Canis lupus familiaris: one gene and its partners. The protein of the gene in region 1 interacts with the protein of each later gene in a pairwise test. Links are inferred from orthologs where the notes say so. Each region holds a gene or a part of one and is shown in the gene's direction. Other genes may lie near its edges. The genes, in order: CBY2, METTL17, MMAB, SYCE1, DZIP1L, CKS1B and KIFC3.

Evidence for each region.
Region 2: the proteins of CBY2 (region 1) and METTL17 interact in binary tests that used the Homo sapiens proteins (3 or more experiments, as listed by UniProt). The link is inferred for Canis lupus familiaris from reciprocal best matches to the Homo sapiens genes CBY2 and METTL17.
Region 3: the proteins of CBY2 (region 1) and MMAB interact in binary tests that used the Homo sapiens proteins (3 or more experiments, as listed by UniProt). The two-hybrid records come from large-scale screens. The link is inferred for Canis lupus familiaris from reciprocal best matches to the Homo sapiens genes CBY2 and MMAB.
Region 4: the proteins of CBY2 (region 1) and SYCE1 interact in binary tests that used the Homo sapiens proteins (3 or more experiments, as listed by UniProt). The two-hybrid records come from large-scale screens. The link is inferred for Canis lupus familiaris from reciprocal best matches to the Homo sapiens genes CBY2 and SYCE1.
Region 5: the proteins of CBY2 (region 1) and DZIP1L interact in binary tests that used the Homo sapiens proteins (3 or more experiments, as listed by UniProt). The two-hybrid records come from large-scale screens. The link is inferred for Canis lupus familiaris from reciprocal best matches to the Homo sapiens genes CBY2 and DZIP1L.
Region 6: the proteins of CBY2 (region 1) and CKS1B interact in binary tests that used the Homo sapiens proteins (3 or more experiments, as listed by UniProt). The two-hybrid records come from large-scale screens. The link is inferred for Canis lupus familiaris from reciprocal best matches to the Homo sapiens genes CBY2 and CKS1B.
Region 7: the proteins of CBY2 (region 1) and KIFC3 interact in binary tests that used the Homo sapiens proteins (3 or more experiments, as listed by UniProt). The two-hybrid records come from large-scale screens. The link is inferred for Canis lupus familiaris from reciprocal best matches to the Homo sapiens genes CBY2 and KIFC3.

The regions. Positions count from the first base shown.
Region 1 is NC_049243.1:5,417,093-5,421,249, reverse strand, and holds the start of CBY2 (protein chibby homolog 2), read left to right. Parts: upstream 1-1,357; 5' UTR 1,358-1,441; coding exon 1,442-1,516; intron 1,517-1,826; coding exon 1,827-1,907; intron 1,908-2,510; exon of another isoform or gene 2,511-2,557; coding exon of another isoform or gene 2,558-2,611; intron 2,612-4,157.
Region 2 is NC_049236.1:18,218,181-18,222,182, forward strand, and holds the start of METTL17 (methyltransferase-like protein 17, mitochondrial), read left to right. Parts: upstream 1-1,202; 5' UTR 1,203-1,218; coding exon 1,219-1,308; exon of another isoform or gene 1,309-1,339; intron 1,340-1,414; coding exon 1,415-1,568; intron 1,569-1,663; coding exon 1,664-1,798; intron 1,799-2,850; coding exon 2,851-2,932; intron 2,933-3,175; coding exon 3,176-3,257; intron 3,258-3,592; coding exon 3,593-3,666; intron 3,667-4,002. UniProt on the Homo sapiens protein: Mitochondrial ribosome (mitoribosome) assembly factor. Binds at the interface of the head and body domains of the mitochondrial small ribosomal subunit (mt-SSU), occluding the mRNA channel and preventing compaction of the head domain towards the body.
Region 3 is NC_049247.1:17,868,490-17,872,660, forward strand, and holds the start of MMAB (corrinoid adenosyltransferase), read left to right. Parts: upstream 1-1,371; 5' UTR 1,372-1,439; coding exon 1,440-1,555; intron 1,556-2,705; coding exon 2,706-2,767; intron 2,768-3,384; coding exon 3,385-3,478; intron 3,479-4,171. Other genes in the region: MVK (mevalonate kinase), read right to left, coding at 59-136. UniProt on the Homo sapiens protein: Converts cob(I)alamin to adenosylcobalamin (adenosylcob(III)alamin), a coenzyme for methylmalonyl-CoA mutase, therefore participates in the final step of the vitamin B12 conversion.
Region 4 is NC_049249.1:41,697,255-41,700,079, reverse strand, and holds the end of SYCE1 (synaptonemal complex central element protein 1), read left to right. Parts: intron 1-95; coding exon 96-185; intron 186-413; coding exon 414-477; intron 478-1,255; coding exon 1,256-1,322; intron 1,323-1,401; coding exon 1,402-1,525; intron 1,526-1,600; coding exon 1,601-1,711; intron 1,712-1,862; coding exon 1,863-2,014; intron 2,015-2,196; coding exon 2,197-2,207; coding exon of another isoform or gene 2,208-2,274; 3' UTR 2,275-2,325; downstream 2,326-2,825. UniProt on the Homo sapiens protein: Major component of the transverse central element of synaptonemal complexes (SCS), formed between homologous chromosomes during meiotic prophase. Requires SYCP1 in order to be incorporated into the central element.
Region 5 is NC_049244.1:34,870,189-34,874,454, reverse strand, and holds the start of DZIP1L (zinc finger protein DZIP1L), read left to right. Parts: upstream 1-1,466; 5' UTR 1,467-1,485; intron 1,486-1,791; exon of another isoform or gene 1,792-1,808; intron 1,809-2,250; exon of another isoform or gene 2,251-2,352; intron 2,353-4,093; exon of another isoform or gene 4,094-4,174; intron 4,175-4,266. UniProt on the Homo sapiens protein: Involved in primary cilium formation. Probably acts as a transition zone protein required for localization of PKD1/PC1 and PKD2/PC2 to the ciliary membrane.
Region 6 is NC_049228.1:42,484,136-42,488,357, reverse strand, and holds the start of CKS1B (cyclin-dependent kinases regulatory subunit 1), read left to right. Parts: upstream 1-1,422; 5' UTR 1,423-1,520; coding exon 1,521-1,579; intron 1,580-2,985; coding exon 2,986-3,113; intron 3,114-3,924; coding exon 3,925-3,977; 3' UTR 3,978-4,222.
Region 7 is NC_049223.1:58,001,920-58,005,395, forward strand, and holds the end of KIFC3 (kinesin-like protein KIFC3), read left to right. Parts: coding exon 1-220; intron 221-435; coding exon 436-570; intron 571-1,374; coding exon 1,375-1,483; intron 1,484-2,071; coding exon of another isoform or gene 2,072-2,076; exon of another isoform or gene 2,077-2,100; intron 2,101-2,280; coding exon 2,281-2,306; 3' UTR 2,307-2,976; downstream 2,977-3,476. UniProt on the Homo sapiens protein: Minus-end microtubule-dependent motor protein. Involved in apically targeted transport. Required for zonula adherens maintenance.

The DNA.
Region 1 (4,157 bases):
AGGATCATGCCCTGAGCCGAAGACAGATGCTCAACTGCTGAGCCACCCAGGCGTCCCCATTTCATGGTCCTTTGTTTGGGCACCCCCACGAAATGAGCACGGCTGGTTCCCTCTTTGTTTAGATTTCCTAGATCAGCGCCCAAGGGCGATGTACAGGTGCTTCTATGAGGTGCATCTATAAGGGAAAGCTGAACTGAGTTTTCCAGTGGTGTGAGAGTTAATCACTAGAAACCCTTGGAGAAACAGAAAACAGGCTTTGACAGGGATGTGGAAAAACTGGAACCTTTGTGAGCTGTTGATGGGAATGTAAAAGGATGGCACAGCAGCTACGGGAAAACAGTATGGAAATTCTTCAAAAAATTAAAAATAAAACTGTATATAATCCAGCAATCCCACTTCTGGGTATATATCCAAAAGAATTTAAAGCAGGATTTTATTATTCACAAGGAGTGCCCCCGAACACACCTGACTTTATGCTAATGAAGTGACCCTTGGTGGCCCCTAGATGGCTTCAGGATGGGCACTAGTTGCTAGAAGAATCAACTATGTGATTAGAGGTTGGGAACTTTCAAGTATTTCACCTCTCCACTTCTGGGAAATGGGGGATGGGGGGTGGGTTGGGCTGGAAATCTTTAATCACCAATGGCCAGTGATTTAATCAACCTCGACCAGGTAATGAAACCTCCATAAAAACCCTTAATAGGGTTAGGAGAGCTTCTGGGTTGGTGAACACATGGAGAAGCTGGGAGGATGGTATGACCTGTGAGGGTGTGGAAGCTCCATGTCCTTCTCCCCCTATACCTTGACTTAAGCATCTTCTATTTGGCTGTTTCTGAGCTGCATCTTTTATAACAAAAGTAATTGTAAGTAAGGTGTTTTCCTGAGTTCTGTTAGCTATCCTAGCAAATTACAGAGGTGCGGAGGGGTTTGTAGGACCCCCGCCAATTCATAGCTGGTCATTCAGAAATACTCGTGGCCTGAGAGTTGTGACTGGTGTCTAAAGTCTGGTGTAGGCAGTCTTGTGGGACTGAGGCCTTTAACTTAGGTGACCTGACACCCACTCCAAGTAGATTGTCTAAGAATTGAATTGAATTATAGGACATACAGTTGGCCTCAGAGAATTGGAGAATTGGTTGGTGTCAGAAAATATCTCAGACTCCGTGGCTTCTCTTGGTCTGAAATGAGTTCAGTTTGGATTTCTCCAAGTAGAAGATGCTAGCTCTAGAGAGAAGGTAGGGCTTACAGCCCAGCCAGGCAGTGGCGATATGAATAGTAGCAAAGATGACCAAATAGGGGGCTAATGTTTGGGTTATTGTGTGTCACACTGACCCTGACCAGCCAGGTAGACATAACCAGGGTGACTCTTCCTGTCAGGTGCCTCATTCCCACCTGTGATGCTCAGAGAGACCATGAGCCCTGAAAAACACCGTATTTTTTTGTGATGTCACCTCTGGAATGTTCTGAGTGTTTTGGTGACCAACTCCTACATAGGACCTATACCTGGCACCTAACATTGGTATGGCTTTTTACTTGAGATAGAAGTAATAACCTTAGAAAAGGTATTAGGTATGGGTATCTCTGCTCCAAAGACTTTTTGGAAGGTTTTTAACACCAACTATAAAATCTGTCTTAATTTCTGTCTAGAGATTGATAAGCATCTTTTCAGATACTATCTTCACATTGTTTCAGACTCAGATTTTCATAATGTACATAGTTGACAAGAGGGGATAAGTGAATAGAAAGTCATCTGTTTTTCAGATTGAGCAATTGAAGCTCAGAGGATGGGCTGGGAAGCAGATATCGTTTTATTTTCTCTTTTCCCACAGCACTCGAGGCCAAGTATTGCAAGAAAAAGAGATACCAGATCTGAAAGCCTAGAAATTCCAATCAATGTGGTTCTGCCTCAGGTAGGGATAATCACAGAAGGGTGCAACTTCCTTGTAACCGGAATAACCCTCCTCTTTCAAGACTGTAGCAAGATATTGTAGAATGAACAGGGTAGTCGGGACCTCTAGTTGCCAACTAGCTGTGTGCCAAGGGGAATTCACTTAGCTACTCTGGGTCTTCAGTTTGTCATCCCTCAAATGAGGAAGGTGGGTTCGGTGACCTGGTAAGACCTCTCAGCCCTCATAATGCTTACAGTTTCTATGACACTCTGAAGTAAGCCACATTCTTCCCAGACTTCAATGTTTTGGTGCTTGCTATTGTACAACCATTCCGGATTTCTGGGAGAGAATTAGAACTGAGACTTGGAACCAAATGCATATGACTGAATCCATGAGTAGAAAGCCCAGGACGTGGACCAAGAGGTACAGGGTGATTTGGAGGTGCCAAGGGAATTGAGGCCTGCTGGATACAAAGACAGAGTGGAAGGGGAACTCAGAAAGGAGGCCCGTAAACGGATGAAGTCTTGACAGTCTGGAGAGTCTCAGGTGTTGTCCTGCTAAGCAGCCGTTTCCTTGGTGGGGTTCTCCTGACTGGATTGTTTCTCCTGCTGCTATGTCACAAAGGGGCAGCCTTGCTTCTCTAGAGTCACCTAAGGCACTGTTGGAAGATCATGGCTGTGCAACCAGAGGGGCTGAAATGTAGGCTGGAGGAATCCAATGCAGAGGTAACTACCTGAAAGCGAGGTACAGGGTGTGTAGGAACAGGATCGAGTACCAGTGGGCATCCTATATATATACTTATTTATTTATAGTAACATATATTTAATATATAATTACATATATAATATATAACTACATAATTATATCTAGTACACATAACAAAATGATATATACATGTTTTCTAAAGCCGTATCTTAAGGATTTTGTGAAGAACAAGATGACAAAGAAGAACTCTGTCATTCTTTCAATAGGTGGAGATAATTGTAACAGTCTGGGCAAGTATATTCAGTAGGAGGGAAAGACAGGACAAAAGAACATTCTGGCTCTTTGTTTTCCCCTTATCCTTATAACTTTGTAGTGAGCAGCCACTTCATCAGTTTCAGCTCATGAAGCCTAGACTATAAGCTACTTTGTCCTGATCATTAGACAGGATGGCTTGCCCACAGGGTTCCTACAGCTCAAGGAACCTTGCTTTAGGTCTGATTCTTTCCACTGAAATGCCATGTAGTTCTGCTGGCCACTACTCCCCTGAGGGTGGGTGTTGTGCCTTTGGTTTGTTCACAGCCTCACTAAGGGACAGGAAGAGGGTGCCAACCTGAGGGTGAGGTTGGGGATAGGGGCAGGAATAGGATTTTTTTTTTAAGATTTTATTTATTCGTGAGAGAGAGAGAGAGAGAGGCAGAGATACAGACAATGGGAGAAGCAGGCTCCCCACAAGGAGCCTGATGTGGGTGGGACTCAGGGGCCCCCCGGGATCATGACCTGAGCCAAAGGCAGATTCTCAACCACTGAACCATCCAGGTGCCCCAGGAATAGGATTTGAAATAGTGGTCATGTGATAAAGAGATTGGAAAAAGTCTTCTGTCTATACCTAGTACAACTCTCCCCGCGTAGGTCCCAGAGATAGGCCAGCCTGAAGGAGGAGAGAAGGTGAACAGAACCTGGGGGGTGGTTTAAGAAGGCTCAAGCTTGTTCTGGGGCCATTCACTTCCTGCACTGCAGGACTTGGTGCTGCTGTTGTGGTTTTGGAGGGCACGGAGGGCACGGAATGTATACCCCTCATGGGTACACCTGCCAGGGAGACCCAAGTCATACACCAAGTTTCAGACACCTGCCAGGATGCTCTAGGCTGAAACTGTGAGGGAGGGGTGTGGGTGTCTATAAATTTAGATTATCTGGACTGTGCCACCACCAGGACTGTGAAGGGACCAGTGTACTCGTTAGACCTCCCCAAATGAAATTGTGCATGACTCAGGGGAAATTGACCTGGTTAACAAGGGGAGGAAAAATAGTGACTGAGCACTGGTTTGGTCATGTGGCAGGCACTGGGCAATGCTAGTGTGAGGTAGGGATTGTATAGGCATGGGAAACTTGAGCCCCAGCAGCCTCTCCAGTAATGGCAGAGCTAGATAGGGGGTTGAAAGCAGGCCAGTGTCCACTCTCTCCGCTACACCACAAGCTAGGCCTATGCCACCTGGTGGGGCCAGGTCACATCTTAGCTCTCTCTGTTCTCTTGCCTTTAGGAAATAGCGCCTCCTCTGTGGGCACCTT
Region 2 (4,002 bases), on another chromosome or scaffold:
CACCCAGGCATCCCTAACCTGCCCAGGTTTAAATCTAATTGTCATCTAACAAGCTCTGCGATCCTGGGCGTGACCTCCAACCATTTACTCCCTTTCTCCGTCTCCCGGACGCCTCGCTGCGTGGATGGGCTTCCCGCAGCATCGGGCACCTAACCTTCTGCGCGTTACCTACTCGTCCAAGCGCACAGCGTACTATGTGGAATAACATGGGGAAAAGAAAAAAAAAAGAAAAAATCTATGGACTATCATTTTGTTATCCTGGGGGGGGGCCTCCATTTGCTTTTTCTTATCTTTCCCTAGCTGCATTCGCCGTTCGCACACAGGAGGGGGACCCCAAGACTTCGGAGTCTTCCAGAGAGAAAGGCTAGGAACACAGGTGCAGTGTTTCCCTGTGTCCGGCGCGGCTCCGGGGCGCCCAGGAAGGGGCTGGTCCCCGCCCGCCCATCCGACCCCCGGACTTCGGGACGCGAGCCTCGGGGCCCCGCGCCCACCCGGGTTCCAGCTGCTCTCGGGGCAGCGGGGCGCCCGACCCCGCCCCCGGACCCGCCCTCTATCCTGGCCCCGCCTCCGGCCCCGCCTTCTACCCTGGCCCCGCCCACTGCCGGCCCGGCCCCACCTTCTACCCTGGTCCCGCCTCCGGCCCCGCCCACTGCCTGCCCGGCCCCGCCTTCTACCCTGGTCCCGCCTCCGGCCCCGCCCTCTGCCCGCCAGCCCCGCGCCCACCCCGCTTCCAGCTGCTCTCGGGGCAGCGGGGCCGGACTCCGACCCCGGCACCTCCCTCTATCCTGGCCCCGCCTCCGGACCCGCCCACTGCCGGCCCGGCCCCGCCTCCTACCTCGGCCCCGCCCTCCATCCTGGCCCCGCCTACGGCCCCGCCCTCTGCCCGCCCGGCCCCGCCTTCTACCCTGGCCCCGCTTCCGGCCCCGCCCCCTGCCCTCCAGCCCCGCTCCCACCTGCTCTCGGGGCAGCGGGGCCGGACCCCGCCCCCGGCCCCGCCTCCGACCCCGCCCTCTGCTCGCCCGGCCCCGCCCTCTATCCTGGCCCCGCCTCCGGTCCCGCCCTCTGCCCGCCCGGCCCCGCCCCCACCCGAGCGCAGATCCCCTCCGAGGTGATACCGACCGTTTATTGGCCACCAGAAGCACTCGCTCTTCTCATTGGCTGACGCTGCTCCGCGGTCACAGGTCTCGTCATTTCCGCTTCCGGCTCGCCTCCGGCACCATGGCGACCGCGCGGGGACTGCGGCCGCTGCTGACGCTGAGCCGGTGTAGCCGCGGGCGCGGAGGAGCCCCCGGAGCCCCCGGGTCCCGAGTGAGTGCCCGCTCCCCGCGCCGGAGGGACCCCGGGGCTCAGGAACGGCGGCGCTGCCGCGGGTGGGCGCTCCCGGCCGCGGTCAGCGTCTCCGTCCCGCCCGCAGGCGCTCGCGGGGGTCGCGCCGGGCGCGTCGCAGGTGGACAACAGCTCCGGCTTCCTGGGGCGGAGGCCACACCGCCGGCACCCCGGCGTCCTGCAGCTGCCGTGCGTGCGGGTGCCGCCCGTGCTGGCCGCCGCGGCGCGGGCCCTGCTGCTCGGTGAGTGGCGGGGCGGGGCGGAGCGAGCCCCGAGGCGGAGCGGGGGGCGGGGGCCGGCGGCACGCGGCTGACGGCGCTGCATCCCCGACCCGCAGAGAGCTCGCTGCCGGGCGTGGAGGCGCAGGTGCCGGCGCTGCGCAACTACCTGTGGAGCCGCCGTGTGCCCGTCGAGCCGGAGGAGCTGCAGAGGCGCGCGCGGCGCCTGGAGGAGCGGCTGCTGGAGGACGCAGGTGGGGCCTGCAGGAGAGTCGGCCGCACGGAGGGCCCGCGTCCCGCCGAACGGGGTCCTCCGCTGCCCTTGCCTCTCCCGGGCGCCCCGGGTCGGGACGGCCTACGTTTGTGTTCCGGGAACGCGGCTCCCTAGCGGGCCCGGAGGCCAGGCAGGGCTCAGCGAGCCGCTCTCACGACCGTGAAGCTTCTCCATCTCACACACCTGCCTTTATGCATCCCGTGCTCCCCGCTCTCCCCTCACCCGGTGCAGCGTAGGCGCTGGGGGGACACGGCCCGCAGACCCACGCCATCCTGAGCCCCAAGACTTCCAGGCCCCGCTTTCTTCCCTCTCGGAACGTCGGAGACGCCACAGCCCGGAGAAAATCCACAGAATACCGTGCTTACGCGATGCTCTTCAATCTTCGAGATGCTTCCCTTTATTTTTTTAAAGATTTTATTTATTTATTCATGAGAGACACAGGCAGAGGGAGAAGCAGGCTCCACGCAGGGAGCTGGATGCAGGACTCGATCCCGGGACTCCAGGATCACGCCCTGGACCAAAGACAGGTGCTAAACTGCTGGGCCACCCGGGGATCCCCAACACTTCCCTTTAAAATAGCGCAAAGTCGGGGATCCCCGGGTGGCCCAGCAGTTTAGCACCTGTCTTTGGTCCAGGGCGTGATCCTGGAGTTCTGGGATCGAGTCCAGCGTCAGGCTCCCTGCATGGAGCCTGCATCTCCCTCTGCCTGTGTCTCTGCCTCTCTCTCTCTGTCATGAATAAATAAATAAAATCTATAAAAAATAAAAGAGCACAAAACCTGTGGGGTGGGGTTGGTATTGATGAACGAGCTGCCGTTAGACGCAGGCTACCATCTGATTCGCCGTGGCGGTGATGGTGCTCGCGGTGACTCCTACCTGAGATTTTTTTCCCCCCTAGGTTGGGCTTCTCGTGAGCTTTGAGGTTTTGCCCAGGATGGGAGCTGCAGAGGACGTGGGCAGGCCGATCTTCAGCTGTTGGATCTGAGCCCTGTGCGTCCCCGGTCCCCACCGTGGATTCTTGTTCTCACCCTAGACGTCCCCCCGGCAGAGGAGAGGCTTCGCCAAGCCGTGCTGCAAACCCTGCGCAGAACTACCTACCATTGGCAAGAACTGACGTAAGGTGGACTAGAAAGGCTACAGAAGGGGAAAGAAATCTTGTCTTTAGCTGGAGACTGGGGTAGCACAGAGACACAGTCCACGTCTGGGAGGCCTGCCCGGTGTGTAGCTCAGGACCCCTACCTTCCAAGGAGTGAGAGTACTCAGCCCCGGGAGTAAGAGTTCTCCCCTCTCTAGAGATTTCATGCCTGTGGGATGGGCGTTATTCCCTGGTGGCTGTGACTCTCTGGTTTTTCTGGCAGCTACAATGAGAGACTGAGCCTGGTATATATGGCGGCAAGACTGGATGGCGGCTTTGCAGCGGTCTCCAGGGCGTTCCATGAGGTGAAAGCCCCTCAGCTTCCAACCCTTAACCATCGCTTCCTTTATGCATAAAGTGGTCTCCTGGGGTATGATTCTAGGGACAACGCATGCACTTTTTTTTTTTTTTTTTTTTTTTATTTATTTTTTAAAGCAGCTCTGTTTATCCTCTGAAAGGATTTTGTGACCCAAGAAAGGTCTAAAAATCACTGTTTCAGGAGGTTCCCATTGTATTAAGTGTTTCCATTGACTCTCCAGGAACATTCACATCTCATCTGGCCTGCCGTGCTCCCCTGATGCAGAGGGGCCGTAGAGAGGCATCCGCTAACTCTGCTGTGGGGTATTGTGTGTTTCTGCAGATCCGGACTCGAGTTCCCAAGTTCCAGCCCCAAACCCTAATGGACTTTGGCTCGGGTACCGGCTCTGTCACTTGGTAAGTCTCTTTCAGTCTGTCATTTCTAGCTCTAGAGAGCCTTGTACGACACCCCAAGACACTGGGAGACCAGACGGGGAGAATAGGAGAGAGTAGGGAACTAGAATGTTTAGTCCCTCGGATCGGGTAAGACGTAAGAGGGTATGTGGATTAGGGCCAGAACTTAAAGGAACTTCTGATGAGCAAAAGACCCATGTTTAGGAAGATAAAAAAGAAACGGAATTTAGTCCAGGGCATATCACCAGATGGTTTTTTTTTTGTTTGTTTGGTTTTTTGTTTGTTTTTTTTTGCCTACAGATCGTTTTTTGAGTCTGCCCTTTTTTTTTTAAGGAGTCC
Region 3 (4,171 bases), on another chromosome or scaffold:
GTCAGAGAGAAAGGGTGCCCAGTTCTCAGAGGCTCTGGGGGGGGGGGGGGGGCTTTACCTTGCCATGGACCACAGCATGCTCTCCATGAAGGATGACTTTCCCTGGGGCGGACACCAGCAGGACTTCTGACAGCATGGCTCCGGAGAACCCTGAAACACAGAGCCAGAGAGGGGATGAAAGGACCCAGATCTTAGAGATATTAGAGATGCCCGTTCAAACTTCTCATCTAACAAAAAAGGCAGCTACCATTCAGCACATGCCATGCGCCCCAAAGACTGTGCAGTGCAGCAGCACATTAAACACATCAGGAAGACTCAGGTTCAAACCCCAGCTCTTCCACTCCCCAGTGAGGTCTTCTTCACGAACTCACTCAAACGCTAGGCAACTTGATTTCCTCAGGTTACAGGAGAAGTAGAACTGTACTTACCTCGATGGGGTTTGGAAAGGTTACATGAAACAAAGCAAGCGGAACACCTGGCAGCTCTGGCATATGATCATTCCACTACGGATAGCTATTTATTGCTGGCTCTGTTCTTGGTTCCAGCTTTTATCATCGCTACTGCCGAAGGTGGAAAGTTAAGTGAAATCAGGAGCCAGAAGGAACGCCTCCCTGGACTCTTAGGCCGTTTCCCATGCCTCACGATGCTTTACCATGGGCTGCACAAACAGCTGTCGAGCCCCCTCCTGCGCGCCCACGCCAGCATCTCTGCATCACAGAGTCCCAGAAAGTGACTCGCTCGGTCTACAAGTGTTGTAGATTTTTACACATCAGGCAGAATTACCATCCGTTCAAGGCCTCACGTGCACTACCTTAACACGGTAAGGCCCGAGCCGCACTGTGAGCCGAGTACTATCGTGATTCCCCCGTTTCTTAGCGGGGGAAACTGAGGCAAGGCGCCAGGAAATCCATCCACTTGCTTGCCCAAAGCTCCGGATCACTTCAGACTCGAGCTCGCCCGGCGCTCGGGACGGACTCCCAGAGTCGGGGAAACTGAGCCAGAGGAGCCAGAAGCGCGGCCCGAGGTCGCGCTGGGGCTCAGCCTCCAACCTCGCGCCGCCGGCCGCGCGAGCCCACGTCCTCACCTGGCCTCAGGTGGTCCTGGGACCCCAAGCCCGGGCGGCTCTGGATTTAGTCCCCGAGCACCGCCCCCGTCCGGGGAAATCGTCCTATCCCTCCGCCAATCAGAGCGCTCGAGCCGTTAAGCAATTGGCTTGGCCATTGGCCAATAGATTGCTCGACCAAGCTGTCACGGGGTTCCCCGCCCCTGCCGCAAGCCAATGGGAAGCAAGCCCCTGGGCTTGTCCCGCCCCGGGTCGAGAGCCGCGAGCCAATAGAAAACGGCTGCGGAACGGTGGCGCGGCCAGCGGTAGGTGGAGTCGCCCGCGGTGCCCGGAACGGGAGCCTGGCTGGGTCAGCCCCCGACGAGCAGCCGCGCGCATGGCTGTGTGGGGCCTGGGAGGCCGCGTGGGCCTGCGCGGGGGCGTCGGCGCCCGTGGGCTACTGTGTCCCCGTTTCCAGAGCCGCCGCTCCCAGGGCGTGGAAGACGGGGACGGGTGAGTGCCTGGCTGGGAGGGTACCTGGACACCTGCCGTGGATTGCGGTGTCGTCGCCGTGGTGACGTCACACCGCTGTGAGAGCCGCTCTTGGTCGTGACGTCACCGCGGCCACGTGGGCGCCGTGGAGGCCAGACACCGAGGGTTTCTTTGTACAAATGAGAAGGAACCTCGGCCCTCATCATCAGGCAGGGCAGGCACATCCACGGGGGCCAGTTAGGCCTCCTTGCCCGGCCTCACGCTCAGGTGGGGTCTCCATTCAGAGTTTGACCTGCCTCCGAGGCACCTCATACCTCAAGACTCAGAGGCGCGCCAACACGATCCGGAGAGGCCGTCATCGTAGACCTTGAAGCTTGCACCCCCATTCCTGGGCCTCAGGACCTGCAGAGTAGCATGAATGAGTAACTGGGTCAGTGTACGTCATAGATCCAGTGACAGGACGTTTCCAATGAGCTTGTGATGCCACGTTTTAGTGTTGAAGCCCGTATTCAAGGTGTTCCCTTGCTACTTGAAAATGCCGGAACCCGACCCTGTTGTGGCAGTTCTTCATTCCTGGGTCTACTTGGAGCTTCATAGGATGGAAGTGGCCCAGATTGCCTTCTCTGCAAGAAGCCCTGGCGTGGCGGACTAGAGGCCAAGAGTTTGGGCTGGTACAAGTCAGCGTGGAAGTAAGAGAGTTTGGGTGAAGTAAGGTAGTCTTGGGCATGAATCCCAACCTTATGGTTTCCTTCCTGGGTGACCTGGGAAGGCAAGTCATCCCATGAGCTCCAGTTTTCTCAACAGTAAAATGAACGTCGTAGGTAGTTCCCACCTTCTGGGGCTGTGGGAAGATTCCAGAGATGATTCCAGGAGATGAATGCCAGCAATCCAGTTAGAACAGTGCAGAGGTTATGGAAAGGGGTCAATAAACTCTTTCCATGTTTATTAAGCATGAGCTACTCTGCAGATACATATACGGGCAAGACACAGAGCTTGTCCACAAAGGACTTAACTAGGAAGAAAGGAGGGGAATGATGTCAACAGAGATCCAAGCAGAGGAGGGGTAAGTGCCGCCTCAGGCCATAAGCAGCAAGCTGTGACCCACTGAGGGAGGTGTCGCCCTGGGCAAGCCATCCCCACTCACCACATCTTGATGTCTGTTTCTCATCAGGCCACAGTCTTCCTCAAAGACACCCAGGATCCCCAAGATATACACCAAAACAGGAGACAAAGGTAGGGGGGCAGGTGAAACATGCAAAAAAAAAGGTTAACCACCTTTTTAACGCTATTTTAAAGTTCTGCGAAATCATTCACAATCATTAAAAATTATGTAATGGATCTCACTAAATATCATCAAGTGGGGTGTGATATTTAAAAGATGCCAAAGATACCGGGAGAGAAGTGAGGATAGTGGTTACCCTTAGGATTGCAACTGAAGGGGGTTGTATGGGGGCTTCAGGGGTGCTGAGCATATTCTATTTCTTGATCTGGGTGCTGGTCACAGAGATGTGTTCAGGTAGTAGCAATTCATCAACTTGTACATTTATTTTTTTTTAAGATTTTATTTATTTATTTGAGAGAGAGAGAAAGAGCATGAGGAGGGAGAGAGGGAGAGGGAGAAGCAGGCTCCCTGCTGAGCAGGGAGCCCCACGCAGGGCTCAATCCCTGGACATCATGACCTGAGCCGAAGGCAGACACTTAAGTGACTGACTGAGCCACCAAGCGCCCCCAACTTGTATGTTTATGGTTTGAGCACTTTCCTGTTATATGTCAGGTGGAAAGTTTTTTAAAAAGAGCATATCAGGACCACCAAAAAATCTTAATTTGGGTGGCTAAACATTTTTTCACAGGGTTTTCTAACACTTTCACTGGAGAAAGGAGACCTAAAGATGACCAAGTGTTTGAAGCCGTGGGAACTACAGATGAATTAAGTTCAGCTATTGGGTAAGGCAGACAGCATTGGCCTCGAGGTTGGGTTTGAATTGGCATCAGTGTAATTCACGTGGAGCTCTTGAGAGTGCTGGCTGGTCCCCGGGGGGCTGCCAACCCTCGATGAGCGTGCCTCAGCATGGCAGCACAGGCACATGGGGTCAGTGCCACAAGGCTCCCGGGCTGCAGGCACCTTTGCCTCCCAGCACCGCCTGCTCCTGCCTGGCATCTGTCCCACGCCACGCGAAGCTGCCTCACCCCTCCATCCCTGGCTCCCCCACCCTTCAGGTGCACGTGCATGGCCGCGGCTTCTCAATGCTGCATCTGACTAGGTGAGATACTCAGGGCAGATAATGAATGACAGGTGCAGAGGTCCTGGCAGCAGAGTAGAGAAGGCCGACTTGTGGGTGTGTGTGTGAAGGTAGGGGTCGGGGGCAGAACAAGGTAAAGTGGGCAGGGGGAAATGAAGGTGCATTCTAGCATCAGCTGTTTAGAATTAGCCCATCGGCAAGCTACCCCCCCCCATCTTTGTGGGCAGGAGATCGGGGACACCAAGCTGTGGACTCTTTGTCAGATAGTGAGCGAACATCTCCATGTGCCAGGCACCACTAAGCAGAGCACCTCAGCCCACAGGCTTCGCAGAGTGCACAGTCCAAGGGGGCTGCGGTTGGGGGGCAGACAGACCTCAGAGGGGCTCCTACAGGTGGT
Region 4 (2,825 bases), on another chromosome or scaffold:
GCCAGAACAGACCCCAAGAGGAAGCAGAAGCCCCACCCCAGCCCTCTCCTGGGGAGGTATTCAGAGACTGTGAGAGCTGCCTTGCCTCTTCCCAGGAAGCATACCATGCTGCAGGAGTGCAAGGAGCGAATTTCTGCCCTGAACTCCCAGATTGAGGAAGAGAAGAATAAACAGAGGCAACTGAGGTAAAGTCCCCGAGGCCAGGCAGAGTGGTGGTGGGTAATATTAGGGATGGGGCTTAGAAGAGCTGGCTGAGGTGAGGCCTGGAGCCTCAAGGTGGTGAAGGTGCTTCCCACAGAGCAGAGGACGTGGGCAACTTTCATATGGTCTATGCATGAAGACCCCTGGCTTGGGCCAAGGTGGGGAGGAATGTCTCAGCACATGGCTCCTCATCTTGTGTGGTTGGTCTGCAGGTTGGATTTTGAGGAACAGCTAGAGGATCTGATGGGCCAGCACAAGGACCTCTGGAAGTTCCATGTGAGTCACCCAAAGCCATTCCTCCCACCTTTCACATCTTCCCTGGCAGTCCCAGGCCCAAAACTCATGATCATGCTGCAGGCCTCCTTCCTCTCATCTGCCACCCCCAGCTCCTGAGCTAGCATGGGTGGTCATATGTCCAAATGGCCCTTAGCTCAATCCCTCGTCATCATCCTCACTGCCACCCGGTGTCCTTCTCTTCACTGGGCCTGCCCATTCATCCCTTCAGGGGCCAGGAGGAACCCTGATGAACCAAGGAGAGGTAATCCATAGAGCGGATAGGAGGGTGTGTCTGCAGCCATGACTGACACAGGGCACACAAGTGGGGATCCAGGCAGACCATCCTGACCACCTAGGAGTCCAGAGAGAATAAGTGTTAAGATGGAGGGGCTCAGTGAGGAGGCCACACAAAGGCAGGTGGAGCTGCAGTGCCAGGCTGGTAACTGATTCTCCAGGGAACAGTTGTGATTTGTAATGTTTTCGGGATGTCCTGTAAGAAATAGTTGCCTCAGACCTGATCTCAAAACTGGCAAAGTTCCTGAACATTAACCACCTCATGAGCCTCAAATGCAGCATCACAGGTATCAGGCGAGACAGTTCCAGGTGCAGACAGTAGCCAGTACAAAGGCCCTGAAGCTGGAACATGCCTTGTGTGCCCAGAGGCCCAGAATAGTAGGAAGTGAGGCAGGCTGAGTAGAGACCAGATCCAGATAGACTTCTCTGAAGGGCATGGGAAGAGGCTGGAACACATGGACAGGCCTCCTCTCTACCTACTCAGGGGCCAGAGCAGATGGCCCGGGAGATTGACACCCTGGACAGCAGCAAGGAGCACCTGCTCAAAGAAGGTGAGAGCGAGAAGGGGGAAGCCCTGATTTGCCCTGCACTGCCCTGCCGTACCCTGCCCATTGTCCCTTCTTGCTGCAGAGAAGCTTGTGGAGGCAAAGCTGGAAGATGTGAAGCATCGTCTGTGTTCCCAGTTTGGGGCTGACGGCTGCTCAACCATTGCTGAGGGGCTCTTTCTCCGCAGCCAGGAGGCTGCAGCTGCAGTGTAAGACCAAAGAGGACAGGGACAGGGAATGGGGTGGAGGGACGGAGTTTCCAGTGCTGATGGCCCCACCCTCAGGCATCTGTTTGAAGAGGAGAACAGGAAGGCCCAGGGGCTCCTGGATGCTGCTACACATCACCATGAGCAGCTGCAGCAGAAGTGCCAACAATTGCAGCAGAAGAGGCAGAGGTGGGCATGGAGGCCCTGCCCCCAGTCCCCAAGAGGAAGGTGGCTGTGAGGGCACCTCTGCTCCCCTTTCAGCTCATCTCCCCATTTCTTTACACCCTCTTGTCCCTTCTCCTCCCCCCTCCCCATACTGACCCCACCCCTTTCTGTCCAGGCTTAAAGAGGAGCTGGAAAAGCTTGGGATGCAGATCCCTGTTCAAGCCCAAAGCAAACAAGAGGAAGGGGCTGGCCCAGGAGAACCTGTGAGACCTGGAATTGGGTGGCAAGGAGCAGAGATAGCTCATAAAAGGAGCTGGGTAGAGGAAGGCAAGGAAGGGGAATCACAGAGTCCTCAAAGATGCTCTTTGGGGAAGGGTGTTCTCATAGGGCATAACCAAGACAGGAGTACAGAGGCTGGCAGTGGTGGGGTGGGAAGGGGCACATCCCAGTAAGGCTGTGGGCACAGGGGTGCACAGAGACTTCGCTTCTCAGACCCTGACCTCCCACAGGCCAATCCTAAGCTCCTAGGAGTCATTCAGGAGAAAGACCCAGAGATGCCCACCAAGGAAGGCCCTATGCCCTCTTAGGCAAGAAGGACTCTCCCTACCCTGGAGCCTATTCAGTGCCATGAACTTCAAGAAATAAAATTACTATTTCAGTACCACTGTCTCAGCTGAGTTTGTGCAGGGGTGGTAGGGCTTGTCCAGCCCAAGACCCTTGACCCCTGAGGCTGGGTAAAACCTTGGCCACATCTCCATTTGGCCTCAGCCAGAGTTCGACGGGAGGTGCCCAGTATGTGCTTCCCTAACCTCATAGTCTCTGCTCATTTCTAGGACTACACACCCTGTTTTGGATCTCCAGGCAGAAAGGTGCACGTTCTGCAAACTCACCCTGTGATTATTTGAATTTGTTACTGAGGCCTGAACTATACAGAACCTACAGAACCTGGAAATCCCAAACATGAGGAACAAGGTGCTTGGGATCTCAGCCAGTCCCTTACCCACAGTCCCCACCGACTAGCTGAGAAAAAAATAATTGGAAGCCAAGTGTAGTTTCTGCTCTTGTGGGCACAAAATACATAACTGACATACCTGTCTATACAACACAGTATGTTAGAATTTTCCATGTCCTGGGAGTC
Region 5 (4,266 bases), on another chromosome or scaffold:
TAACAATTTTCAAATGTACAATTCAGTCGCATTAAGTACATTCACATTGTTGCACAGCCAACACCACTATTCATCTCTAGAACTTTGCCATTGTCCCAGACTAAAACTTTGTACCCATTAAACAATAATTTCCTATTCCCTACACTCCCTCCACCTCACCCCAGCCCTTGGTAACCACTATTCCACCTGGAATATCTCTATGAATTTAACTATTCCAGTTACCTTATATAAGTGGAATCATAACATTTCTCCTTTTTGTATCTGACTTCTCTCACCTGGCATAATATTTCTAAGGTTCATATTGTGGCATGTATCAGTATTTCGTTATGCTTTAAGACTGAGTAATAGTTCATTGTATGTATGTAGCACACTTTGTTTATCCATTTATACCTTGATGGCCACTAGGGTCGTTTACACCTTTTGGCAATTGTGAACAATACTGTTAGGAGCATGCGTCTACAAATACGTTTTAGTCCCCGTTTCCATTCTTTTGAGTAAATACCCAGAAATGGAATTGCTGGATCCTACGGCAATTTTATTTCTGTCACAGCAGCTGTACAATTTATATTCCCACCTGGCGTTCCATTTTCTCTCTTTTCTTTTTTTTAAGGTTTTATTTATTTATTTTTATTTTTATTTTATTTTTTTAGATTATTTTTTAAAATTTTTATTTATTTATGATAGTCACACACAGAGAGAGAGAGAGAGGCAGAGACATAGGCAGAGGAAGAAGCAGGCTCCATGCACCGGGAGCCTGATGTGGGATTCGATCCCAGGTCTCCAGGATCGCGCCCTGGGCCAAAGGCAGGCGCTAAACCGCTGCGCCACCCAGGGATCCCCTATTTATTTATTTATTTATTTATTTATTTATTTATTTATTTATTTATTTATTTATGAGAGATACAGAGACACAGAGAGAGGGAGAGAGAGGGAGGGGGAGGGAGAAGCAGGCTCCACACAGGGAGCCCGACGCGGGACTCGATCCCCTGGTCTCCAGGATCACGCCCTGGGCCGAAGGCAGGCGCAAACCGCGGAGCCACCCAGGCGTTCCTCCACATGCTTGCCAACACTTGTTTCCATACACTCTTGCTTGGGCTGCCCCAAGACACAGAGTTTGGCAGACTGAGACTGGAGTGGGAAGAAGGCCTTAAAAAAAAAAAAAAAAAAAAAAAAAAAATCCCAGCAGTCTGGGGCTCGGTAAAGCTGTGAGTAGCTGGGAATCGGGGACCAGCATCCGGGGAGGAGGAGTTCTCCGCTCCCGAGTCGCGGCGCGGGCGCACGGGGCGGGCTGGAAGGCCGGGTCGCGGCGCTGCCCCTCGGGACGAGCTCGGCGAGGGCCCGGCTCACCCGCGGGCCGCCCTTTGTTGCGTGTGTGGGGACTGCAGCACCTCCATCCCCGGGCTTCCCGCGCCCGCGCCCTCAGCGAGGCCAGCGAGCCACTCTCGAGGATCCCGGACTCAACAAGGCATTCCCCCGCCCCCCTCGGTAGCCGACTTAAAAATAGCTTGTCCCGGGGGCGCTGGGGAGAGGCTCCACCCCCGTCTGGGTGGCGTGGGGCGCCGTCCCGGGAGCCCGCGGCGTCGGAGACCCTGGGCCTCGAGCTGCGGGCGCGGAAGGCGCTGCTGCCCTCGGGTCCGCGGGGTGGGCGGCAACGGGGAGGGCGTCCCGGCTCCCCGCCGCTGGGGTGCACCCCCGGCCCGCGCCGGGGTTCGGGGAGCCGCCTCCGGGAGGTCTAGCCGGGAGGCGGGGCCGGGGCCAAGCTGGGGAGCCCGCACCTCTGGACCTCTGCCGGCTCCGGAGGCCCCCAGGTGAGCAGGACCGCGTGGGAAAGCTATGGCAGGAATTTGGCCCCGGGAGGGGCGCGGGTGGGTGGGGAGCGCCCTCGCGGTGCCACCGTGCGGTGGGTGCAGCAGGCCGAGGGCGGTTAAACATTAGCGGCTGGGGCGCGGGGTAGGGGTCCAACCCGGGAGCCGCGGGAGCTGCACTCCTGCGCGGACTGCTTACCGCGGCTAGCGGCGCCCGGCTCCGCCCCTTGCCCCGCCCCGGGCCTCCCTGGCCACGCCCCTGGCCACGCCCCTGCCACGCACTGGCCGCCCATTGTCCCGCCCATTGTCCCGCCCATTGTCCCGCCCCCGGCCACGCCCCTTAGCCGGCTCCGCCCCCACCTCCACTCTCACAGCTCACTCCAGACCGAGGTACTCCCGGAGGGAAGCAGGAGTGACTGCACCTCGCCACCCACCCACCCACCCCCCCCCACCCCCCCGGACTGTTTCCCTGGGTGGACAGACTCGGATGCTTACTTTTTGAAAAAAGTGAAATGATTTGGAGGGCTTGATGCTTTGAGTTCTGCAGGTAAAGGGGGATCTTTTGATAATGAGATGATTTAAAAACCAAAAATTGGCATCTCTGGTTTGTTCCTCTTGCATTCTGGGGCTAGGGTTTAGGAGGAGGCAGCGACGGTATTTTCCTTTTGAGGTGGCCGCAGGTAAAAGTCCAGGGAGACTTGCTTTGTACGGGAGGAGGGTCTAGAAGGGGGTCTGGAGGGCTTGGGCCGGGGCTCCCCTTCACCCAGCACTCCTTAGGGCCCAGGACGTCCCCTCCCTCCCCTGCACCTGGGGGGGGGGGCATTGTCTCTGGGAATTTGATTTGTAAAAGAACTTCGAAGAGAGGCCTGGTGAGTGTGAGGTTCTCTGACTATGGCCTCTCTTTCATCTGCAGCCAGGGTGGGTGGTCCACTCCTGTGTCAGGGAGGTCCCTCATCACTTTCTCCTGGCCTCCTGGAGCTGAGGATTGACCAGTGAGAACAATCCCTCTTAGAGAAAGCTGGCCCTCCAGTCAAGTGGTTGAAAAGCCATCTTTTTTCTGGCTCTGTCAGCACCAAGAGACATCTTCCTCATGTGGAAATAGTTTTGGATACCATCCGACTTGATAAAATGGTCCCATGGAGTCATATGCTTCAGGTTGGGAACAGAAACCTGAATTCCTTTGTGGAATATAACTGGGTTCTGCCACAAAGCTGGAGTTTGGTCAAAGGCTTGTGGCTCTTGTTCTGACAGGAGCAGGGATGGGGGCAACATGGTGGGCTCTTCTGAACCACCTTGTGCGCCCTTTTCAGAGAGGGCGGGTCCTGGTTAGGTGGGTTAATTACCTGCAGTGCCAGCTGTTGCTAGGCTGCGCACCTCCAGGGAGGATCTTGTGGGGGTCTGATGGCTGAAGCTGGAGAAAGTCTACCAAGAAACAATGACTGTTCCAAGGGAAAGAAAGCACCAGTATATTCTAAACTCCGTTCCTTTAGATGTGAAAAGCAGGGCTGATTTTTGACAATTCTGCACCTGAGAAGACAGGTCATGTCAGTTTGTAGTCTTCCCCTCTATAATATTCCTGAGCGATGCCAGCCAAAGCCCTAGCCCTGATTTTTCTTTTAAAGAAGATTCTCTTGTGGCAAAAAGTTAAGAGAGGTTTTTGACAAAACCGTTGGTGTTGTCTTTTAAAAAGATCTTCTTAGAAGGAGATACAGGTCTTCCGTTACGGAGTGGATGTCACGGGGATAAAAAGCAGAGCGTAAAGAATATGGTTAGCGATATTGTGGTAGTGATGTAGCGGGACAGATGGTGGCTACACTCCCGGTGAACATAGCCTAAAGTCTAAACTTGTCGAATCACACCTGAAACTAATGTGTAACATTGTGTGTCAGCTATACTAAAAAAAAAAAAATAAATAAAAAAAAAATAAAAATACCTCCTTAAAGTTACTGGGAATGGAAGCCAGAACCTTGATAGTTCTGGGAGCAGGTGCAGCCCCTGTGGAGGGCAAGGAGTGGAAATGGCACACTTTTTTTTTTTTTTTTTTTTTTTTTTAGAAAACAACAGAATTAGGGAATAAAGCCTAAAATCTGTAACGATAGTGTTCCAGGAGAACTTCCGAGTCACTCTCCTTTGGGATTTGTAGGGCTCCCTTGCCTAAGGCTTGTATATAACCTATTTGCAAACTGTGTGGGAGTTTCCTTGGCAACCACAACAATTAACATTAATGACAAGCCTGGGCTCCTCAGGGCAGGTACTACTGGGGTGGCTCTGGGAGCCAGGGCAGGCTTGTCAATGATTGCCTGGCAGCTGCCTTGGTAGCTTGGCTCCCCTAACAGCTCCTCTTGGCTGCATTTTTGAGGAAGCAGAAGGTACGGTAAGGTGGGAGCAGCGGTGGTATACTCTAGCTGTCCATTTATATTTAAAAATCAGAATTTAAAAAGATCAGTTGTTTGGTTGACTT
Region 6 (4,222 bases), on another chromosome or scaffold:
GACCAGGAGGAATGCCCAGACAAGAGCTCTGCTTGGGGGGGAGGGGAAGAGCCCAAGAAGCGGCGGGGGCTGGGGAGTCCCTTCCAAAAAACTAAACAAACAAAAAAACTCAAACAGCAAAAAGGCCACTGTCCCCTCCACCCACGCCAGGCCACCGTTTCCAGGCAGCAGGACACTCTAGCTCCTGGTGCACCCGCAGGTTGCACGCCAACCTCACGGCCCTACCAGCTCCCGAGGTGCGGGTGCTAGCCCTACAGCTGTCTCTGGGGCGGAGTCTGTCCTGGGCTGGGAACCCAGGAGCAAGTCTCTCGGCCCCTTTGGCGCCAAACCCCAAGTCCAGGCCCCTCTCCGCGGGGCAGGGGGAGGGGCAAGGGAGGCGGAGGGCGGCCCCTGACCTCGCCCGGCTCGCCCCACCTGCTGGAGCAGAAGCACTGGCTCCGCAGAGCTGAGCCCCAAGCCCAAGGAGAAGAGAAGCTGTGTCAGCAAGGGGCTTCGGGACTACCACAGCGCTCCGAGGGGCGGAGCCCGCCCCACTCTGGACGCTGCCCAGGGGGAATGGGCCCCACATCACGGGTACCGGGCACTGTAAGAGGCGAGGCTACAGCACCGCCCGACGCCATCAGGCGGGGGGCGGGGCCTCTCGGAAGGCGTAGCCTCTGGGGCGGGGCTGCCGGCACTCGGCCGGGCCTCGGAGGGGCGGGGCTCTGGCCTCCTGGGGGACCCGTCGCCAGAAGGCGAAGAATCGGAACTCAGAGAACTACCGTCAGGTTTCTCACAGTCGGACTTGGAAGCATGTTCGGGGGTGGGACTTCCAGGAAAGCTGGGCAGCAGGGTGGGGTCGTGGACAATACACAGAAAACAAGTCGGGGTTCGGGGAGCCCCCTGAAGATGGGGGTGGGACTTCCGGGGAGGGGGGTCTCAGGGGGCGGGACTTGCACATGAAGACCGGAAGTAGGGTCCCGGGAGAGGGGTTCCGGGGTGGAGGAATGGGTCACCTTAGGAGAGGGAGAAGACCTAACTCACCAGGGCCTCATGGAGTCTCCGCACCGCACCGCGGCTCGATTTGGTTCCGGATCACGCCACTGCCTCCTTAGGTCGCCGTTCCAACTTTCTCCCCGGCCTGGCCTCCCTGAAGAAACTTTATTGCACTCACTTCCGGCCTCACTAACCCCTGACCCTCTACCTCAGCGTCCCTCCTTCAGCCGTCCCACTTTGCCGAATCAGCCAATGGCAATGCGAGAACGCGCACGGGGGCAGGAATAGCCAATTAGAGGCATATTTTTTCCCTACGCTCATTCTTGACTAACGTAAGCAGCGCGGTCCAATAAGGACTCGAACAGAAGCAAATCTAAACCAATCGGCGGCTTGAAGGTGGAGTAGTCCCGCCTTAAACCATGGGGTCCAATAGGAAGCGCGGGCGGCGTGTTTGAAAGCTAGGCCAAAGTGGGTGGGAGCGCGTGCTGCTGGGAGTTGTTTGGAGGTTGCCGGAGTGGGCCTGACGGTCCTCAGGCTGAGTGATCATGTCGCACAAACAGATTTACTATTCGGACAAATACGACGACGAGGAGTTCGAGTACCGGTTAGTGCCGCCGCGGGGGCCATAACGAGGTCGTGAACTTTGACAAGTGAGGGCAAGAGGAGTTAGTCACCGGGGCTGAAGCAACAGGACCGGCGCATGCGCGGGGGACTCCCGGGGCGCGGGCGCGGAGCGTAGCAGGGCGCCTGCGCGAGGGCCTGGCGGCGAGAGGGCGCGGACAGCTGCGGACCGCAGTGTGTCCCGCGCCGGGGAGCGGGCGGAGGGGGCGTGCCTAGAGCTCGAGGCCTCCGCACCCCGCACCATGCGGGGTTCTGGATCGTTCTGGGAGCTTCCCCGGGCACGTGGAGGTTGCCCGCTGGGGCGTGCTGGAAAGAAGTGGCCGCAGCGGTGCTGAACGATCCGGGAAAGGGGGCGCGGGCGTGCGGCTCGTGGGAAGGTCTGACCCGGCGACGCAGCGCCGCAGGCTCGGGAGTTGCGCCCGGGCACGGTGTGACGGAGGCAGCGCCGCCCCTCCAGGAGGAGTACCAGGGAAGAGCGAGGATGCTGCCCGCGTGCCGTTTTGGCTTCTTCCTGGAAGAACGTGGGATGGAGACTTGGCAGGCTTGCGTTTCCTTCCCGGCCAAGTGCGGGGCTCCGGGGACTCGGCGTGTGCTGACCCTTGGGGGACCCAGGCCACTTAGGTTTCTTTCCGCCGCTGACTGTGCGCTGCCACCTCTGCAGAGCTAGTTTCAGCTCCCCGAAGTTGTAAGTCCGGGCGCTGGCGTTGGGGGGCGTCGGTCGGGTCCGATTAGGGATCGAAGACGCTGTTTGTGAAAGAATTTGCTACTAGTACACACCTACTGTGTTTTCCCTGAGCATGATGGGGTCTATCTGGAGTAGCCCAACTCAGGTGAGAGTAAGGATTTTTTTTTTGCCATGAAAGGAGATTTATCCTTGGTTAGGAAAACCTGGGGTTTCCCAAGAGGAGTCTCATGGCAACTCTTTTCAGAGTTGGGAAAATGAAATGGAGGGTACATTTCAGAGGAGAAGATATTCACATTTCATCCTTGTGATGGCTCTTCCTCACAGCGCTCCACAAGAGGCCTTTCTTCTCCACAAAACCAGCCGTTTTCAAAACTACCTTTAATAATTAACGCTGTGAGTGTCGTGGGGCTGCCCTTAGATCGTTCTAATCAGCTAGCAGACTGAGCTGGAGGAAGGCAGGGGCGCGGTGTCCACAGCGCCTGTTCACTTGAGTTACTCACGCGTGCTTTTTAACATACTTGGGGGGACGATTTGCATAATCTGGCCTTTATTTCTAGCTGCCTCTGCCCCATGATAAGAGTACATAAACTCTCCCATTGGGAACCAATTTTTTCTTTTCTTTGCTCTCTTGGCTTTGTACACAAGCATTTGTCTAACACAACTGCACCCAGTACTGATGTGATCCCTCCGTGTTTCTGTTACAGGCATGTCATGTTGCCCAAGGACATAGCCAAGCTGGTCCCTAAAACCCATCTGATGTCTGAATCTGAATGGAGGAATCTTGGAGTTCAGCAGAGTCAGGGATGGGTCCATTATATGATCCATGAACCAGGTCGGTGCGATGGCTGAAAACAACCATTTAGGGCTCCTTGGCTGAGGAAAAGAGGAATGATAAGATGGTATAACCCAAAGAAATAGAGGTGAGGGTGGTCTATTGGTTCCTCACCAGCCACCTAGAAAAATCAGAGTGATGGGATCCCTGGGTGGTGCAGCAGTTTAGCGCCTGCCTTTGGCCCAGGGCGCGATCCTGGAGACTCAGGATCGAATCCCACGTCGGGCTCCCGGTGCATGGAGCCTGCTTCTCCCTCTGCCTATGTCTCTGCCTCTCTCTCTCTTTCTGTGTGACTATCATAAATAAATTTTAAAAAAAATTTTTTTTAAAAATCAGAGTGACAAAAAAGAGTCAAGTACTGGGAAGTTCAGAAGACAACCTGTCCCTGAAAAAACTCTTTCAATCTCTAATTCAGTCTGAGCATCACACACACACACCCGTCACCCTTTTTAAGGCCACAAACACCCTGGTAGAGGTTATGGATCCTGCATCATTCTCCATGAGAAAGCAAATTCTCAGATGTGTCCCAAATAAGCCAAGGGAAGTATATTTCTTGATAAGACACCAGACCCACAAGCAGCCAGGCAAATCTAATAAAGGAGGTGGGCAGGGGATGGGGGGGCTGTACAAACACAGCAAAGGAACTGATGCTAATAGTTCTCTGCTTAGCAGACAGGCCCAGCTTTAGGGTCTGCTTCTGAGGCCATATGCTTACATCTTAATGTAGTTCTAAAGGTCTGAAATGGGAAGGGGACGCACTACACACTGCAGAGACCAGGGTGAGCGTGTCTCTTCAATGTCACTCTTTCAGAACCTCACATCTTGTTGTTCCGACGGCCACTGCCCAAGAAGCCGAAGAAATGAAGCTGGCAGCCACTTTCCAGCCTCAAGCTTTACACAGCTGTCGTCGCTTGCTAACATCTTCCTGATAACATCATTATGTTGCCTTCTTGTTTTCTCACTTTGATATTTAAAGGATGTTCAGTACACTGTTTGTGCTGCTGACTGTTTTGCTTGAGCAGAGCCAACAGCACCATGGCCCGGCCAGTTGAGTGCTCTTTGGGCTGCAGCCTCAGCTGAGCTGTGTACCCAGCAGAGCACACTTGGTA
Region 7 (3,476 bases), on another chromosome or scaffold:
CCTGGTGGACCTGGCGGGCTCGGAGCGCGTGGGCAAGTCGGGGGCTGAGGGCAGCCGCCTGCGGGAGGCACAGCACATCAACAAGTCGCTGTCGGCTCTGGGGGACGTCATTGCGGCCCTGCGCTCCCGCCAGGGCCATGTGCCCTTCCGCAACTCCAAGCTTACCTACCTGCTGCAGGACTCGCTCAGTGGGGACAGCAAGACCCTCATGGTGGTGCAGGTGAGGACCTCTGGTGAGCTGCAGGCTGGGAGGGCTCGGCCAGCAGCACGACCGGAGACCCCCTTCCTCTGCGGCCCAGGCTCCCCAGGCTGTGTGGGGAAGGGACCCTTGTCCTCCCTCAGCAGCTCCAAAGTCAGTGAGCATGCTGCCCCTCCCAATTCTGGGGGTGGGGGAGGAGGCCTGCTGGCCGGGGTGTGAGCTCTTGTGTCCCATAGGTGTCCCCTGTGGAGAAGAACACCAGTGAGACTCTGTACTCCCTGAAGTTCGCTGAGAGGGTGCGCTCTGTGGAGCTGGGCCCTGGGTCCCGCAGGGCAGAGCTCGGGTCCTGGTCTAGCCAGGAGCATCTGGAGGTATAGGGACTGTCGTGGGCAGGAAGGAGGGCCTGGGATGGGGGACAGACTGGGGTGGTGGGGAAGGGAGGATGCCAGAAGGGGCTGGCGCCAGAACTTGAACCCAAGAGCCTCACTATTTTAGATATTTGTTTATTTAAGGAGGGGTGGGGGAGAGAGTGTGGGCACAGGAGCGAGGAGGTGGCAGGGAGTGGGGGAAAGGGAGCAGCAGACTAGCCCTGAGTGGGGAGCCTGACTCGGGGCTTGGTCCCAGGACCCCAGGATTATGACCTAAACTGAAGGCAGGGATCCCTGGTGTCTCAGTGGTTAAACACCTGCCTTCAGCCCCGGGCGTGACCCTGGAGTCCTGGGATCAAGTCCCGCGTCAGGCTCCCTGCACGGAGCCCGCTTCTCCCTCTGCCTGTGTCTCTGCCTCTCTCTCTGTCTCTCATGAATAAGTAAATAAAATGTTACAAACAAACCGCAGGCAGATGCTTAGCAGGCAGATGCTTAACTGGCTGAGCCACCAGGTGCCCCTGCCAGGGGCTTCTCTCATCTAAACACTTCTTAGCCTCAGAGCGCCCTGTGGTGGTCCTCAGCTGGCTGGGGGGCGGGCGGGTTGCAGGCTGGCACGCAGGTGCTCAGTAGTAGCTCAGGGCCCTTTAACATCCATTATCTCAGCTAATTCCTTCAGTAACAAGGTGGGGCTCACCTCATCATACCCATTTTGCAGGAGGTTGGGGAGGGGAACGCAGGGGTGGAGCACGGTGAAGGGGGGAGCCAGGGCAGCATGGCCCCTGCCCACCTGCTCACCCCTGCCCACAGTGGGAGCCAGCTTGCCAGACCCCACAGCCCTCAGCACGGGCACACTCAGCCCCTGGCTCTGGGACCAACAGCCGCCCAGGCTCTATCCGGAGGAAGCTGCAGCCCTTGGGTAAGCCCTTGGGGAAGGGGCCACTGTGGGGTTGGGGGTGGGGGTGAGCCTCCTTACAGGTGGATAGCCACCAGACTGCCCTTGCCTGAATGGACTTTTCCTTTTTTTTGTTTTGTTTTGAAGTTTATAGAAGTCCTCCAGAACCTATTATACAAACTTTTCTGGCCCTGGGAAGTAGTCAGTCAGGAAGTAGTCAGGACAGGACACTGCTAGGCCCATTTTACAGATGGATAGTCAAAGGCCCTTTGGAGAGGCGGTAGCATAAGGGGAACCCAGACCTCGGGGCTCCTAGCAGGGCTGCTGATTTGAGGCCCAGGAGGCAATTCTCTGAGGCTGGCCTCAAGACACCCCTGCCCTGGGCCTGGATTCCTGGGGAGGGAGGGTGAAGGGCAGGGCCCACCCATGTCCCAGGTGAGGAGTGAGCCCAGCCACAGGCCTGGCATCCAGAACCCCAGCCCTCTGAGTGGCCCCACACTCACAGAGGGGCCTGGCAAGGGCTGGAGTCCAAGGAGGTAGGGGCCACAGGGTCCCGGGGAGTCCCAGCCCCAGGCAAGCCCACCAGTGAGACACCTGTTGCTTTGATTTCAGCCTGACGGCTGGGGCTGCAGAGTCTCCAGGTGAGTGTGGGGCCAGGGGCCCGGGCCCGCCTGCCCGCCTGCCTTGGGTTGCAGGGCTGTGCCGGGGAGAGGGCTGCTCAGGGCGGGCCTGTCCTGCTGCTGCCTGCTGTCTGTGCTTCTCCCTGGCTCCCTCCCGATCGCGTGCACAGAGGCTGACGAAGCCTTTTCCCGCTCCCGCAGGGAAGTCCAGGCCGGTGCCTGTGTGACGGACGCATCCACCCTGCCAAACCGGGGACTGGATCCACCTGCTGTAGCACCAAGAGCCCAGGAGGCGAAGGCCAGAGTGGAGGCATCTCTTCTGCCTCGTATCCACTCAGAAATGAGAAAACATGTTCCAAAGGAAATGGTGTCTCTCGGCAGTGGGTGTGGGTGCAAAAGGCCCGGGCTGGAAGGGCAGAGATGGCCCACTCTGCCTGGCAGGCCCGGGCCGTCAGCAGATCCTCGTGGGGAGGGCAGGAGTGTGGGAGGCTGGGCCTCTGGCCTGGGCCAACTCGCTCCAGCCTGCAGGGCCTGTCTGTAACGGGTGGGCTGAAGAGCCCCCAGCAGGCCCAGGAGCCGTGAATCTGGGCAGTCGGTGGGCACGCTGGGGCAGCCCTGGCCCCCTTCCCCTCCGAGGCAGGCCCCGAGTGGGTACGTGTATAGTGTGACTAGGTGTACATAGGAGCGTGGCCCTCCCTGCCGAGGGCTGGGCTGTATTTATGGCTGGTGGGAGGCCAGTGGGTGGGGATCCTGCTGCTCCCCTCATCTGCCTGGCACCAGGCTCTCGCCTTGCTCACTGGCCTCTTGACATTTTCCTCCTCTGAAATCCTATTTAAGAACTTTTGGAAGCTTAGCCATTTTTACTTATTAAAATAAAAACCTTTTTACACAACGATAGTCTGAGAGTTGGGTCTCTTGAGCTCCTGGTCAGATCACAGGGACAAGCCCAGGGACAGCTCCCTGCTGCTGGCTGGTCACCCACAGCCCTCTTGAGATCTCGTGAAGGCCACGACTGAGAGGATCTAGTGCCCCTGGCCACGCCCATCACATGGACCCACCCAGCAACACGCTATCCTGTCTGTACGTGGGAAACTTGGGCTCTTCAGAGGCTTGAGCACCATAGCCAGCAGGGCTGGGCTGGCCCCTTAAGGGAACTGGCTAGGGGTGGGTACCACCCTCTTCCCGGTGCTACAAGACTGCCCTCCCCAACCCCATGGGGGTTGTGCTGGCCTCCACCTGGTCTGGCCTCGGCCTCAGCAGGGAATGTGCACAGGGGCTCAGTGGGGCCCTCTCTCCAACTAGGGCTGCCACAGGAGCAGAAGGGGTCAGCGCTGGGGGATCCTCCTGGGAGGAGGGCCACTGCCCTTCCAGCCCTGTCCCAGGAGGCCTCCTGGAGG